2 linked regions of the Ovis aries genome follow. The protein of the gene in region 1 interacts with the protein of each later gene in a pairwise test. Links are inferred from orthologs where the notes say so. Each region holds a gene or a part of one and is shown in the gene's direction. Other genes may lie near its edges.

What was found.
Region 2: the proteins of SALL2 (region 1) and ZMIZ2 interact in binary tests that used the Homo sapiens proteins (3 or more experiments, as listed by UniProt). The two-hybrid records come from large-scale screens. The link is inferred for Ovis aries from reciprocal best matches to the Homo sapiens genes SALL2 and ZMIZ2.

Annotation. Positions count from the first base shown.
Region 1 is NC_056060.1:23,997,026-24,004,863, forward strand, and holds part of SALL2 (sal-like protein 2), read left to right. Parts: intron 1-4,217; exon of another isoform or gene 4,218-4,339; coding exon of another isoform or gene 4,340-4,406; intron 4,407-4,790; coding exon 4,791-7,729; 3' UTR 7,730-7,838. UniProt on the Homo sapiens protein: Probable transcription factor that plays a role in eye development before, during, and after optic fissure closure.
Region 2 is NC_056057.1:78,417,439-78,425,828, reverse strand, and holds the start of ZMIZ2 (zinc finger MIZ domain-containing protein 2), read left to right. Parts: upstream 1-3,204; 5' UTR 3,205-3,291; intron 3,292-3,483; exon of another isoform or gene 3,484-3,634; intron 3,635-3,732; exon of another isoform or gene 3,733-4,580; intron 4,581-8,390. UniProt on the Homo sapiens protein: Increases ligand-dependent transcriptional activity of AR and other nuclear hormone receptors.

The DNA of each region.
Region 1 (7,838 bases):
TTTGCACCAGATGTACCTGTGCCTATTTGTCCACTGTGTTGCACAGGTCAAGGGTACACTTACTAGGTGTGAGCGACAGAGGAGTATGTGGATGCATTTAGGAGAGAGGAGTGAGGAAGAGATCATTTATTCTCCCTTAGAAGTCCTCTGTAGCAGCAGTTATAGGATCAACTCATAATTGGGGATACTATCAATTGGTGTTGGTCCAACATTAACAGTAAGTTTAGGCAGGGCTTACATAGTATGCTCCTTTCTTTAGTGGTTGGATGGATGGTGCCTGAACTCTGTGTAGAACAAAGCCTTTCATTTTACAATTAGAAGTATGGCTCAAGATGCACATACAGTCACCTAAACTCTTAGTCGAGTGTATATCATGTCAATTTCTGTTCATGGAAGCACGGCACAAGAGAGTCAAAATGTACCTGTGGTCAGAGTAGAGAGAGAACCCAACAGGCAGATTTTATTTTGCACTGAGCAACTCATTTTACTTATGTCCTGATTTTTGTAAAGTTGAACACAGGTAAGATTTGTGACCTTCCCTGGTGGCTCAGCAGTAAAGAATTCTCCAGCAATGCAGGAGAAACGGATCTGATCCCTGGGTCGGGAAGATCCCCTAAAGAAGGAAATGGCAACCCACTCCAGTATTCTTGCCTGTGAAATCTCATGAATAGAGGAGCCTGGCAGGCTACAGTCTATGGGGTCACAAAAGAGTCAGACATTACAGCACTTTCTACTTTTCCACTTTGAAGATTTGTGAGAAGCAGGGTGGAAGGTTTGCTGGGAAAGGCACTCCTCTGATACACACTATGGTTCTCCTCCTTGGCTGTACATTGGAATCACTTGAGGAACATTACAAACATTGATGCCTAGACCCACCCTGGCCAGGCTTCCCAGGTGGCTCTAGTGGTAAAGATCCCACCAGCCAACGTAGGAGACCTAAGAGATGCAGATTCAATCCCTGGGTCCGGAAAATTCCTTGGAGGAGGAAATGGCTACCCTGTATTGTTGCTTGGAGAATCACACAGACAGAGGAGCCTGGCAGGCTACAGTTCATATCTTCACAAAGCATCAGACTTAGCATGCACGCACACACAGCCTGGCCACTGCAATTTTTAAAAGCTCTTCCAGTAATTCTAATGGGCAGCAAAGTTTGAGAACCTGTGTTCAAGTCTACCTGCTACACACCGATTTTTCTGTTTTCCGAGCCATCCTTTCCTAAGTTTGATGAGCCACCAGATTTAGAGAGTCACCTGATTTCATTTTTCCTTGTATTTCAGCTCTTTATAAATTTAAACCAGCATATCCAGGTCTCAGTCCTGTGTCCATCCCAGACTTTGCATGTGACCCAGGGTAGCTTACTTCACCTTATCTGCTATCTAGGGACACCATTACCAGGTTTGTTTAGTCCTGTGTTTATGATTTCATTCGTGTCTGCCTAAGAATCCCACCCCCCTTTTCAGGATAGGCAGTGAGTGCAAAGTGCTAAGAAAAAGAGGGCTCCTCTTACAGGTGGCTGTTGATCCATCACCTTTCAACAGGGACTGAATTTACCTTTAAGAAGAGTGCAGATCAAATTACACATCAGAAAGCAAGTTTCATTAAAGAGCTAGAAAGGGGACAGTGTTTCCCAGGAGAAGATGAAAAGAAAAGGATTTCTTTTCTTGTTGGAAGACTTGACAAAACAGCAACTTGATATCAAACATTCAATGCTAATTAACAAATGCTCAGTAGAAAGAGTCCATCTGATTCCTTCTCTCTCACTGAGGCTGCAGAGCAAATGGCAGGTAGGAACCACACAAGGCCCTTTCTCTAGCTTAGGGAAGCTACACAATGTTGATGTGCTTGGGAAAGTATTGGACAGGAGTCAAAACTCTGAATGTTTGCTGCACTGAATTACTGTGTGAACTTGGAAAAGTCACTTAACCTCTCCAAGCTTCAACTTCCTTATCTATAAAAATAAACAACATTGCAGTTAACCTGTGACTTACCATAATTGACACAGAATCCTCTCTCCCTCCCTGGTCAGGTCTGGAAGCCTGGAGCTCCTCTGTTTCAGAGCCATTGTCTACAGTATCAAGACCCTTGTGTTTATCTGAAGTTTCAAAACAATTCAGTACAATGTTTTCAATGAAAGTGGACATTATTAATATTATACTAATATTAACATTCAACTATGTCTATATTATATACAACTCAGTGTGTGTGTTCAGTCATGTCTGACTCTTTGCAACCCCATGGACTGTAGCCTGCCAGGCTCCTCTGTCCATGGAATTTTCCAGGCAAGAATAATGGAGTGGATTGCCTTTTCCTACTCCAGGGAATCGTTCCAACCCAAGAATCAAACCCATGTCTCTTGCCTCTCCTGCATTGGCAGATGGATTCTTTACCACTAGCGCCACCTGGAAAGCCTAATATTAATATTACATTATACTAACATTAATATTTGGAGAAGGAAATGGCTATTACAGCTCCCACCCCAAAAGACTTCCTACTCTTAACATATGCCAATGATATTAGCCTCAGAAATGAATAAGATTGCTAATTCCCTGGCAGTCCAGTGGTTAGGATGCCACGCTTATGCTACCAAGGACCTGGGTTCAGGGAACTAAGATCCTGAGTAAGCCGTACAGCTTGGCCAAAAATAAATAAATTAAAATAAATTAATAGGCAACATGAAAACAGACCTAATTTGAATATATATGTATTTTAGCTTATTTTGGTTTTTTTTTTGCCACTTAAATATAAGTTCTTTAATTCATAATATTTAGGACTCCTCCCAAAATTTGAAGTCCTATATATATAGATTATTTTATCCCCACTATATTTCTCTGATGAAGCCAACATAGCTACAATATTACCACTTTACAAAAAAGGAAATGGCAGTGCAGTCATGGTGTGACTGCCCACCACGCCTCAATTTACCAGCCAGGCAAGAACGGAACTGGGATTAGAACAAGGTGGATTTACTGATGCCCAGGCAAAACACTGAACTAAGGACTTATCACCTCCTGTAAGAAAGATAAGCTCTTTTAAGGAAGTTGGAAAGCCATTAAGGCTCATTTCAAGATAGGAAGGGAATGCAGAGTACCTGGTCCAGGAGGCATTTTACGCCCTTAATCCTCTCTCCTAATAGGAGGCCACCTCTGTGCAGTGAGCAGGTGTTATTTCTAGGCATTCAACCCAGCCTGGGGCTAAGAGGGACTTTAGGCCCCGAGAGGCTGCCTGGTAGCTCCCTCCTACTGCATTTTCCCCATTGTTTCGGGAGGAGTTCCCTTCCCCCCAGGTTAAAGCTAGGTGGGCCTCTGCAAACTAGCATCACCCCCAAACAGCACATCCGTAATAGTGTCTGCGTTGCTAGAGAAGGACAACGGAGGAAGAAGGGTAGAGAAGAGGAAACTAAATAGGAGATGACTCCTTTAATAAGCATGAACTCTGTAAATGAGGTGTGGGCTGGGTGATCCGTGGAATAACTTGCATTCAGCTATTATTCTGGGGGAGGAGGGGCGGGGAGTAAAGGGGCTTAGTGTTCCGCAGAGAAGAGTCCTGAATCGACTTCCTTGGAAATTCTACCTCTCAGCCTCCCACCCTGAGAAGCTTCTTTTGTAGAGGGGGTGTGGGGGTAGGGTGGGAATGGAGGTGAAGAAAACAGGACAAAACTTGGGGCATTTGCAGGGGCGGTGTGAATGTGTGTAGATAAGGGGTGGATTTTCTGGGACCCCCCCCCCTCTCGCTCTGGCCCTCAGACCACCCTCTCTGGAGTCCACGTTTTCCAGGCTCAGCGGATCCTTTATCCGAAGGAAAATAAGAGAAGCCTATCGCTCTGCTCTATTGAGCAAGGCTGTGTTTCCTACTGCGCCCCCTTGAGCTTGCTGGGGAGGTGGGCGGGCCGGTCTGGGCAAAGACATCTGGAGATGGGGGAGCTAGCAGAGGGCAAGGATAGGTGGACCCCCACCAGGCCCCACAGCACCTGTCACTGAGCCTACCGGAAACCCTCCTGTGCTCTGGGCTCCCGCCCCCGTACACCCGTCCCCCGCCCCCTCTCTTCTTCCCCAGCTCCCGCCTCCCTCCCCAGCAACTCCTCCCCACAGACTCCCCTTCCCAGCAGCTCCTCCCCCATCTCCCCTCTCCCAGCTTTCTGGCTCCAGCTCCTCCCCTCCTCCGCGTCTCCTCGCTCCCCTCCCCCTCCTCCGCTGCGCCCTGCCCCCGCCGCGATCTCCATCTCTGCAGTCCGGGCCGCTGGGTGCAGAGGCTGCTGCAGCCCGGGCGGCCAGTGCCGCCTCCCCCAATCCGGATACCCATTGTCTCCCACTCCACCCGGCCCTGCACCTCCCGCACAACCATGGCGCACGAAGCCGGGAGGAGCGCTCGTCTCGGGGGGCCCTGCGGGGAGCCGGCGGAGCTTGGAGGTGCGGTAGGGCCCTGCAGGGGTAGGGGTGGAGGGGGTGCGCTGGGCGAGGGGGAAAGGACTTTCGGTGGACGAGATAAAACGGACGATTCTCTGCCCAGGACCCGGTCCTCCCAGCTTGTCCTTCCGCCCGCCGGTGACCCGGGGTGCGAGGGGATAGAAGGGGGACAGTAGCTTGTGCATGCCCGCTCCTCTCCTTCCTGGCCCCCAGTGCTGGCGTGTCGTGTCCAGGCGGGTCAGCCCTGAGCTCTAGCCTTCTGCACGGCCTGATGGTGAGCTCATCTCCCCACCCCCACTAGCGGTTACTGGGCTCCTTGTTAATTACAGCCTGTGTATATCCATCCCAACCGCACCACCCACGCTCTCTCCTTGTGTTCTTCCCCAGGTGATGTGAGCGAGGACGACCACCCCCAAGTCTGTGCCAAGTGCTGCGCACAATTCACTGACCCAGCTGAATTCCTCGCCCACCAGAATGCATGTTCTACTGATCCCCCTGTAATGGTGATAATTGGGGGCCAGGAGAACCCCAACAACTCTTCGACCTCTTGCGAGCCTCGGCCTGAGGGCCACAGTAGTCCGCAGGCCATGGAGGCCGAGCAAAGCAACCCCTCGGACTGCGCGTCCTCTGTACCCACAGATCCCACCTGGGGCCCCGAGCGGAGGGGAGAGGAGTCTTCCGGGCACTTCCTCATTGCTGCCACAGGTACAGCAGCTGGGGGAGGTGGGGGCCTGATCTTGGCCAGCCCCAAGCTGGGAGCGACTCCATTACCGCCGGAGTCCACCCCTGCACCCCCTCCTCCTCCGCCTCCTCCTCCCCCCTCAGGGGTAGGCAGTGGCCACTTGAACATCCCTCTGATCTTGGAAGAACTCCGGGTGCTGCAGCAGCGCCAGATTCATCAGATGCAGATGACTGAGCAAATCTGCCGGCAGGTGCTGCTGCTAGGCTCCTTAGGCCAGACAGTGGGCACCCCTTCCAGTCCCTCGGAGCTACCTGGGACAGGGACTGCCTCCTCCACCAAGCCCCTGCTGCCTCTCTTCAGTCCCATCAAGCCTGTCCAAACTGGCAAAACACTGGCACCTTCCTCCACCTCCTCCTCAGGGGCAGAAGCACCCAAGCAGGCTTTCTTCCACCTTTACCACCCCTTGGGGTCACAGCACCCTTTTTCTGCTGGTGTGGTCGGGCGAAGCCACAAACCCACCCCTGCAGCCTCCCCGGCCCTGTCGGGCAGCACGGATCAGCTGATTGCCTCGCCTCACCTGGCATTCCCAGGCACTACAGGACTCCTGGCAGCGCAGTGTCTTGGGGCAGCCCGGGGCCTCGAGGCTGCTGCTTCCCCAGGGCTCCTGAAGCCAAAGAATGGAGGTGGAGAGTTGGGTTATGGGGAAGTGATGGGCCCCTTGGAGAAGCCCGGTGGGAGGCACAAGTGCCGCTTCTGCGCCAAAGTATTTGGTAGTGACAGTGCCCTGCAGATCCACCTGCGTTCCCACACAGGCGAGAGACCCTATAAGTGTAATGTGTGTGGCAACCGCTTTACCACGCGAGGCAACCTCAAAGTGCATTTCCACCGGCATCGGGAGAAGTACCCACATGTGCAGATGAACCCTCACCCGGTTCCAGAGCATCTCGACTATGTTATCACCAGCAGCGGCCTGCCCTATGGTATGTCGGTGCCGCCAGAGAAGGCTGAGGAGGAGGCAGCTGTGCCGGGTGGAGGTGTGGAACGCAAGCCTCTGGTGGCCTCCACCGCCGCCCTCAGTGCCACAGAGAGCCTCACGCTGCTCTCCACCGGTGCAGGCACCACTACGGCCCCTGCGCTTCCTGCTTTCAATAAGTTTGTGCTCATGAAAGCAGTAGAGCCAAAGAATAAAGCGGATGAAAACACCCCGCCGGGGAGTGAGGGCTCAGCCATCGCCGGGGTGGCAGAAAGTGGTGCAGCAACCCGCATGCAGCTAAGTAAGCTGGTGACATCGCTACCCAGCTGGGCCCTGCTTACCAACCACTTGAAGTCCACTGGTAGCTTCCCCTTCCCTTATGTGCTGGAGCCCTTGGGGGCTTCACCCTCCGAGACCTCCAAGCTTCAGCAGCTGGTAGAAAAGATTGACCGTCAAGGAGCTGTGGCAGTGGCCTCTACTGCCTCGGGTGCCCCCACAACCTCTGCCCCTGCAGCTTCATCATCAGCCTCATCTGGACCCAACCAGTGTGTCATTTGTCTCCGGGTGCTGAGCTGTCCTCGGGCACTGCGCCTGCATTACGGTCAGCATGGAGGTGAGCGGCCCTTCAAATGCAAAGTGTGTGGCAGAGCTTTCTCTACCCGAGGCAATCTGCGTGCACATTTCGTGGGCCATAAGGCTAGTCCAGCTGCCCGGGCCCAGAACTCCTGCCCCATTTGCCAGAAGAAGTTCACCAACGCTGTTACTCTGCAGCAGCATGTTCGGATGCACCTGGGGGGCCAGATCCCCAATGGTGGCACTGCACTCCCGGAAGCGGGGGGAGCTGCCCAGGAGAACGGCTCTGAGCAATCGACAGTCTCCGGAGCGGGGGGCTTCCCCCAGCAGCCATCCCAGCAGCCATCCCCAGAGGAGGAGTTGTCTGAAGAAGAGGAAGAGGATGAAGAAGAGGAAGAAGATGTGACTGATGAAGATTCCCTGGCCGGAAGAGGCTCTGAAAGTGGAGGGGAGAAGGCCATATCCGTGCGAGGTGATTCAGAAGAGGCCTCTGGCACTGAGGAGGAAGTGGGGACTGTGGCAGCGGTGACCACAGCTGGGAAGGAGATGGACACTAATGAGAAGACCATTCAGCAGCCGTGTCTGCTGCCGCCGCCACCAGCTGACACCCTGGATCAGACACAGCCAAAGGAGCAGGGAGGCAGTGATGCTGCCGGAGGCACGGAAGAGGGGGCAAAACCGGAGAGGAGCTCCAGCCCAGGGTCAGCGCTGGCCCTTGAAGGGGAAGGCAGCAGCACCCCCTTGGTGGAGGAGCTGAGCCTGCAGGAAGTGATGAGAAAGGAGCCCGGGGAGAGCAGTGGCCGAAAGGCCTGTGAGGTGTGTGGCCAGACCTTTCCCACCCAAGCAGCTCTGGAGGAGCATCAGAAAACCCACCCCAAGGAGGGGCTGCTCTTCACTTGTGTTTTCTGCAGGCAGGGCTTTCTTGAGCGGGCTACCCTCAAGAAGCACATGCTGCTGGCCCACCACCAGGTACAGCCCTTTGCCCCCCATGGCCCTCAGAATATTGCTGCTCTTTCCTTGGTCCCAGGCTGCTCACCCTCTATCACTTCCCCAGGGCTCTCTCCCTTTCCCCGAAAAGATGACCCCACCATTCCATGAGCCAGTTTTTCTGTACCTGCTGCCCCTTGACCCAAGGAGCAGGAAGTGAGAGCTCTATAGAAGGACCTCCCAGATCTGAGCCTTTATTTGTCTGTTTCTCTGAGTTCTT
Region 2 (8,390 bases), on another chromosome or scaffold:
GAACTGGAATGGGTGAATCTAACTCAGATGACCATTGTATCTACTACTGTGGGCAGGAATCCCTTAGAAGAAATGGAGTAGCCATCATGGTCAACAAGAGAGTCCAAAATGCAGTACTTGTATGCAGTCTCAAAAACAACAGAATGATCTCTGTTCATCTCCAAGGCAAACCATTCAATATCATAGTAATCCAAGTATATGCCCCAACCAGTAATGTTGAAGAAGCTGAAGTTGAACGGTTCTATGAAGAACCTACAAGACCTTTTAGAACTAACACCCAAAAGAGATGTCCTTTGCATTATAGGGGACTGGAATGCAAAAGTAGGAAGACAAGAAACACCTGGAGTAACAGGCAAATTTGGCCTTGGAGTACAGAATGAAGCAGGGCAAAGGCTAATAGAGTTTTGCCAAGAGAAAGCACTGGTCATAGCAAATGCCCTCTTTCAACAACACAAGATAAGACTCTACACATGGACATCACCAGATGGCCAACGTCGAAATCAGATTGATTATATTCTTTGCAGCCAAAGATGGAGAAGCTGTATACAGTCAGCAAAAACAAGATGGGGTGCTGACTGTGGCTCAGATCATGAACTCCTAATTGCCAAATTCAGACTTAAATTGAAGAAAGTGGGAAAAACCACTAGACCATTCAGGTATGACCTAAATCATGACAGTTCCAAGGCACTGTCAAAAGACCAAGGAGTGGGTGGTGACCCAGTTCCTGGAAATTCCCACCTCTTTCCCAAAATAGTTGGAATAATCCTCCCACTCATTAGCATAAGAAATTACCCAGCGCATAAAAACTAACTATGCCACATTTTGCAGCAGCACTTGCCCTCTGCAATGGCCCACAAACTCTGTGTGTCTAGTGTGCTTCTCTCTGAATCTGAATAAATCCACTTCTTATCTATCACTTTGTCTCTCACTGGATTCTTTCTGCAATGAGACATCAAGAACCTGAGCTTCATTAGGTCCTGAAATCAGGTTCCATGGGTTTTGGCTGGGTTCTATTCCATGCAGGGTTTTGGCTGGGTTCAAATACTGGCCTCGTGGGTTTGAGTCCCAGCACATAGGTTCAAGTCCTACTCTTGAACCTATGGTTTCAAGAGAACTAGATCCCACCTGCTACAACTAAGAGTTCCTATGCTGCAAGTAAAGATCCTGCACTTCACAACAAAGATGGAAGACTCCTTGTGCCTCAACTGAGACCCAGCAGAGTAAAATAAATATTTTTTTAAAAGAAAAGAACTGGGCATGTTTATCTTTCAACAGAAGATTCCAAGGCAAAATTCTCATTTTATACAGTTGTAGAAGGAAGACTTTAGGGAGGCAGATGTTTTCCAGTAAATAAGGGAGAATCTTCTAACAATCTGTATAGTCAAACATGAAAACTATCCAGAAGGGAACTGACACCAAACAGCGTCTCCTAGGGCTGTTACACTGGGGAGGTAACAGATCTGCCTTCAGAGTTCTAATTCAGGACCCTACTGTGGCCATTTCTGGCCTCTTCCCAGAACTTGCCGGCAACTCCCCCAAACTCACAGCCTCCTGGAGGCAGAAGCAGGTCATGTTCCATGGTGTGTGCCTCCCTCATCATGTGGGTCTCTTCTGGGGCCAGCTCTCCAGAGAATCTGCCTCTGCTCTTTAACCTATTTCCCAGCATTCCCCCATCTTCCATTTTTCTTTTATTTTTCTTCCTAACCCTCACATTGATGGACAGATTGTTACCTGGTGAGTCATTTCTTTTTGTTCCTTCTAGTGGGAGCAGGGAGGAGAGGAGTTACTATCATGGTCACTGGGGTGTTCAGAGCCCAGTGCCTGGTATAGCAGGCCATCATATTTGTTCAATGAAGTAATGGTTCTCCAAAGATACAGAGTTCAGGTAGCCTTGAGGGAAGAAATTTCAGCATTATTACAAGTTAATTATGAGGCATCCATCAATGGAGGAATGGATAGACAAAATGTGGTATACACACAAAAAATGAAATACTGTTCAGCCTTTAAAAGGAGAGAAATTATGCAAGTTGCAATGTGAATGAACCTTCGAGACATTCAGTTCAGTTCAGCTGAGTCACTCAGTCATGTTCAACTCTTTGCGACCCCATGAATTGCAGCACTCCAGGCCTCCCTGTCCGTCACCAACTTCTGGAGCTTGCTCAAACTCATGTCCATCAAGTCAGTGATGCCATCCAACCATCTCATCCTCTGTCCTCCCCTTCTCCTCCTGCCTTCAATCTTTCCCAGCATCAGGGTCTTTTCCATGAGTCAGTTCTTTGTACCAGGTGGCCAGAGTATTGGAGCTTCCAATCAGTGTCAGTCCTTCCAATGAATATTCTGGACTGATATCCTTTAGGATTGACTGGTTTGATCACCGTGTTGTCCAAGGGATAGGCTACCCACTCCAATATTCTTGGGCTTCCCTTTTGGCTCAGCAGTTAAAGAATCCACCTGCAGTATGGGAGACCTGTGTTCGATCCCTGGGTTGGGAAGATCCCCTGGAGAAGGGAAAGGCTACCCACTACAGTATTCTGGCTTAGAGAGTATAGGGTCACAGCTGGACATGACTGAGGGACTTTCATGACATCAGTCACAAATGGACAAATACTGTATGATTCCACTTCTATCAGATCCCTAGAGGAGTCAGATTCAGAGACAGAAAGTAGAATGGTGGGTGGGAGGAGGATGGGGAACTATTGTTTGATGAGTACAAAGTGTCACTTTTAGGAGATGAAAAAGCTATGGGTGGTGATGGATATGTGATAGTGGGGAATGTGCTTAACACCACTGTACACTTAAAACTGGTTAGGATGGTAAACTTTGTTACTGTATTTTACTACAATAAAAAAAAAAATGTGGGTAATCAGGAGAATGTGGTCTTCCTAAAGGAAGGGTAGATAATAGCCGAGAATAACTTAAAGACTGAAAATAGCATATGATGATGCCAACCGACCAGAGAGGTTGCTTCATCTGGCTAGAACTCGAGTGACTAACAATGTTTCAACAGGACGCACTCTAGGAAGATGAGAGAACAGTGAAGAGAATGAGTTGTGTGATTCCGCGTGGTTTTTCCTACAAGACATCTCCCAGAAGTGGCCCATTGACACGGGGTCACCTCCGCAGACCCAGCCTCCGCCAAGACTCCGCCCTCTTCCAGGCCCCGCCTCCCACCCGCCAGGTTCCACCCCTCCTCCTGGATCTGCCCTCTTTCAGGCCCCGCCTCCTCTGCTCCGCCCCGGCAGAGAGCAGAGAGCAAGGGCTGGTGACTCCGCAGACGCTGCGCCTGGAAAGGTGTGGAAGGGGCGGGGAGCCCAGATCATCCCCAACCCGTCCTCCCTCCCCGCCCCGCTCCTGGCCGGCCAGCCGCCCTAGCTTGCGCAGGCCCGCGGCCACCTGGGCCTGAACGCTGGCTCGGGGCTCCACTGCTTTGGCCTGGGGGCGGGGCCGGCGCGCGGCGTCATGCATATGCATGAGCGACTCGGCGGCTCCATTGTGCCCTCGGAGCGGGCGGCGGCGCGATGGCGCGGGCGGCGGCAGCCCCGGGGCGGCGGGCGGCGCTGAGGGCGGGCTGAGCGCATGGAGCAGCGCGGACCGGGGGCCGCGGCGGCGAGGGGCCGGGCCGGGCGGCGAGGAGGTGAGCGGACCGGGCGGGCAGGTGCGGGCGGCGGGGGCGGCAGGTGCGGCAGGTGCGGGAGGCGGCAGGTGCGGCGTCCCCGGGCCCGGCGCTGCATCGCCTCGGCGGGGCCCCGGCGGGGCTGGAGCCGCCCCTGCCGCCCACCTGCCGCACCTGCGGCGCGTGCGTCGTGGTCCTGGGCCGACTGGCCCGCTGCGCGCCGAGGCCACCCCTCACCTGAGCCTTTGTTGGGGCTGGCCAGAATCCGTCCAAGCGCCCGAGGTGTCTGGGCAGGAGCCTCACGCGGGCCCTCACCCAAACTGGCCCCGCTCCCTCCTTTCTGCGCTGTGGCCTGAAGGCTCACCTTTCGGGCCCCTCCGGGCCGTGCGTGCCGTTGGCACGCGATGTGAGACCCGCGAAGGTGTGCTCTGGGGCTGGCGACCCTAACCTTTCAGCCCCCCAGCCGAGATTTTGGTGGAAATACCGTTTTCCCAACAGGAGATACTGAAGCTCAGGCGGGAGCGTGTCCAGCCCTCCTTCCCAGGAGTGTCCTACCCTAGCCTCCCCCATCTGCTCGCCGCTGCCCTGTTCCCCCCAATCCTGCTCCCCCTACCCTGCTCCTCCGAACCTTTCTTGCCTCCCCTAGACCTGCTCCCCTACATCATGTTCCCCATACTCTCTTCCCGATAGTTGCAGAATATCCATGGTGATGTATTTAAGTCATTTGTATTATCTCAGAAGATTTCACAGGGAAATACACAGAACATGTGACTCAATCTGTAAGACAGTTGATAGGGCGATCACAGACTCACCCACCAAATCCTGTCACACTAGAACCAGAGGGCTTCCCTTGAAGAAGCTAGATAGAGGTAACAGGATAGGAGAAGGATTCTTAACCTCACCCAGTGAGTACTGGCCTTGGGGACTTGTCACACCTGGAGGGTGGTTCCTGGTTGGAAAGAGAAAGGTGAGATAATGAATAACAGATTCAGAAGGACTGGTAGGCTGTGCCTGGGGAGGACTCCCAATCATAGGACTGATCTCCAGAGGCAGCCAGGCCTCCCCATGAAGTGTCCACTAGCCCTTGGATCCAGGATGGGAGCTGGGGCTGATGATTTAAGGTGGTCATGTGCCCTCCCCTCTCTTAGTCCTAGAGTGGCCACCACGTACCCATTTTCCACACTGTAAACTGAGGCTCAGGGCAGGGCAGCCCTTCAGCTGTTCTCTGGAATTTCCTACACCTGTGCCATTGAGCAATGCTCCTTCCTGGGCACCTTTGATGAACTCTGAATACTTCAGCCAGTCAGTGTGTGGCCTTCCAAGTCAAGGGGCAGGACTTCAGCCACTTGAGCATGTGAGCCCCCACTTTTATGTCCTCCTGGGACGCTTGAGCTGTTCGTTTTCCTCGTCTGAGCCTGTTTGACTCCAGTGTTCCTCTAGTTGGGGCCAGTCATCGGGAACTGTGGATTCCCTGTGCTAGAGGAGGCAGCGAGCCCCTGCTCTATGACTATGTTGGCACTGTCCTCCTGGGGTCTGGTGGGTGGTTGTGAGGTGTGCTGCTGCTGGGTGCCTAGGCAAGGAGCGTGGAGTGGGGGCAGAAGAGGTTGACCCATGGTGACGTCTGCCTTTGGAGACAGCAGTGCAGATGCTCTGAGGTCCTGGGAAAGGGGGATGTGAGGAGTGAGTTGTCTGTAGCTCTTTTACTGGAGGAAAATGTGATCTGACCCCCAGAAAGCCATGTGGCCTTCTAGACTGACATCACGCCAGGGCTTTCTGCCAAGGTCCTGGCTTCCAGTGAGAGTTGATGTACAGGGAAAGCCCCCCACCAGCAGGAAGCCGCCAGAGGCTAGCCCTGGCCCTGCACACACCCAGGCTCCTTCTTAACTCTTCTTCTCACGGCCAGGAGGTGGGAGGAGGGTCTGCACTCACACCACATCTCTCTCCCTTTGTCAGGAGCAGAGGGTCCCCCAGTCCCCAACCTGAAGAGTTTGGGGCTTGTCAGGGAAGAGAGCCGCCTTGGTTCAGGAGCTTGGCAGGAAGTCACTGCCCCCGCTCAGTAAGCTCGGGGGCGGGGGGAACTGGAAATGTCTGTGGTCTTGTCCACAGCAGAGAAGTCATAGGGGTGGAATTCCCCAGACTCACGTGATGTAGGAAGCTGTGCTGGGCCCCAGACCAGCAGCCTCCACATGGGCCCCCGCCCTGCACCTGCCCTGTCCCCCCTCCTCTCCAGCTCTCCGGGGCTTTCAAACTGTGGTACCAGCAGCAGCACCTGCAAACTTACTGGAAATGCAAGTCTTGGGCCTCACTCCACCCTCTGAACTCAAAGTGGGGCTGAGTTCTGGTGAGCCGCCGTTGGAGAAGCTGCGCTTGTGAACTAATACAGCCTCCCCTGGGGCTCTGACCCAGGCCAGGGGGGGTCTGTCTTCTTCCTGCTCTTCCCTTTGGGACAGCAAAGTGGGCCTGGCCAATCCAGCCAGCTTTAGTGTGGGAAATGATGGCCCTGGGCATCTCTGTGGGGAGAGAGAGCTGGTGGTGGTTGTACATTAAATAAATTTGTAGTTTGAGAGAATTATAGATTCTTAAGATGTTACAAGAAATGACACAGAGAGCTCTGTAACTTTTCCCTAGTGGTAACATCTTATAAAAGTGTAGCACAACATCACAGGAGAGTACAACTCCATCAATACAGTTGATACAGATATTCCATGCCCACCTTCTATATTCCCACTGGCTTCACTTCCCTGCTCTCCACCTTTAACCCCTGGCCGCCACCCGTGTGCTCTCCATTTGTGTAATTCTGTCATTTCAAGGATGTTATGTAAAGGGAACCATACAATGTGTAACCTTTGGGGACTGGCTTTTTCCATGTAGCATGGTTCTCTGGAGATTCCTGCAGGTTGGTGCCTGTGTCAGTAGCCCTGCCTTTTTATGCCTCCAGGCTCACAGTTGGTTAGCTCTTCACCACTGAAGGATATCTGCATTTCCATTCTTTGGCTATTAGGAATAAAACTGCTATAAATATTCACATACAGATTTTTGTGTGAACCTAGGTTTACACTTCTGAGATAAATGTTCAGGAATACAGTTGCTAGGTTGTATAGTGTGCTGTGTGCTTAGTCGCTCAGTCGTGTCTGATTCTTTGGACCCCATTGACTGTAGCTCACCAGGCTTCTCTGTCCATGGGGATTCTCCAGGCAAGAATACTGGTTGCCATGCCTTCCTCCAGAGGATCTTCCCAACCCAGGGATCAAACCCAAGTCTCCTTCATTGCGGGAGGATTCTTTACTATCTGAGCTACCAGGGAAGCCCTGGTTGTCTAGTGGCTGCATGCTTAGTTTTATAGGAAACTAGCAGATCATTTTTCAGAGTGGCTGTACCATTTTATATTCCCACCAACCATGCATGAGAGACCCAGTTTCTCCTAGCCAGCATTTGATGGTGTCAATTTTTTTGTTGTTGGCTGTGACAGGTCTTAGTTGTGGCCTGTGGGATCTTTGCAGCATGTGGAATCTAGTTCCCTGACCAGGGATCCAACCCAGGCCCCCTGCATTGGGAATGCAGAGTCTTAGCCACTGAACCACCAGAGAAATCACACTATTTATTTTAGCCATTGTGGTGGGTGTGTAGTGATACCTCGGTGTGGTTTTAATTTGCATTTCTCTGATGGCCAGTGATGGTGAACATCTTTTCGGATGTTTGTTTGCCATCTGTACATCCTCTTTGGTGAAATGTCTCCATATCTTTTGCCTGTCTTCCAATTTTAACTTTTGCGTTTTGAGAATTCTTTATATATTCTAGATACTTGTCCTTTGTCAGATGTGTGGCTTGCAGATATTTCTTCCAGTCTGTAACTTGTCTTTCCATCCTCTTTGTGGGGTCCTTCACAGAACAGAAATTTTCAGTTTTTCCTTTTATGAATCATGCTTTTGGTGTCAAACCTAAGAAAGTTCTTACGATTTTGTGCTATACGTTTAAAATCCATGACCCACTTCAAGTAAATTTCTAAGTTTAGGGGAGTTTTTTGTTTATGTTTGTCTTTTGCCTTTGCATGTCCAATAGGTCCGGCACCATTTGTTGAAAATACTGTCTTTCCTCCTTTTTGCATCTTTGTCAAAAACTTTGTTCATTGGGTATGTTTGTGTGGGTCTCTAATGAGTTGTCTAGTTTGTTCTATTGACCTCTGAGTCAATCCCCCTGCCAACACTACAGTCTAGAGTAGCTTGCCTATGTTGTAAGTCCTGAAAACCCTGTGTATTGCTTCAGGCCCCACTCAGCAGGTCTGGGGGGAGTTTCTATCTTTTGGAGGCCCCCCTCATCCCTCATTACAGCATCACCCTCCTGGTGGTTGCCGCCCCTGGGGACAACCAGCCTTCCCCTGCCTGGCTGGGTGATTCTGGCTCCCAGGCCCGAGTCCAGCGACCCCTGAGCCTTCTGGAGCCACCGGCCCCTTGCGTTTTTGGCCTCTGCTTCCTGGTTGTCACATGGTCTGGAGCTTGACTCCTCTGGGGAGGAGCATAGCGAAGGGGTGCAGGGTCAGGTGTGAGGTGGACAAGCCCACCAGATGCCTCCTTCCTCTGCTTGTCTAATCCATCACCTCCCCTCCCAGCCCTGGCTCCAGTTCGAGAACCTGCTTTCCCCAGTGCTCTGTGGGGGGCCTGGGGCCCAAGTCATAGTCCCCACTGTTTCCTTGACCTGCTCTGGGGTCCTGTGGAAAGACTGTGGAGGAGCCCCAGCTCCAGGTGCCTTCAGAACGGATTTTGCACGGGATGTGATTGTA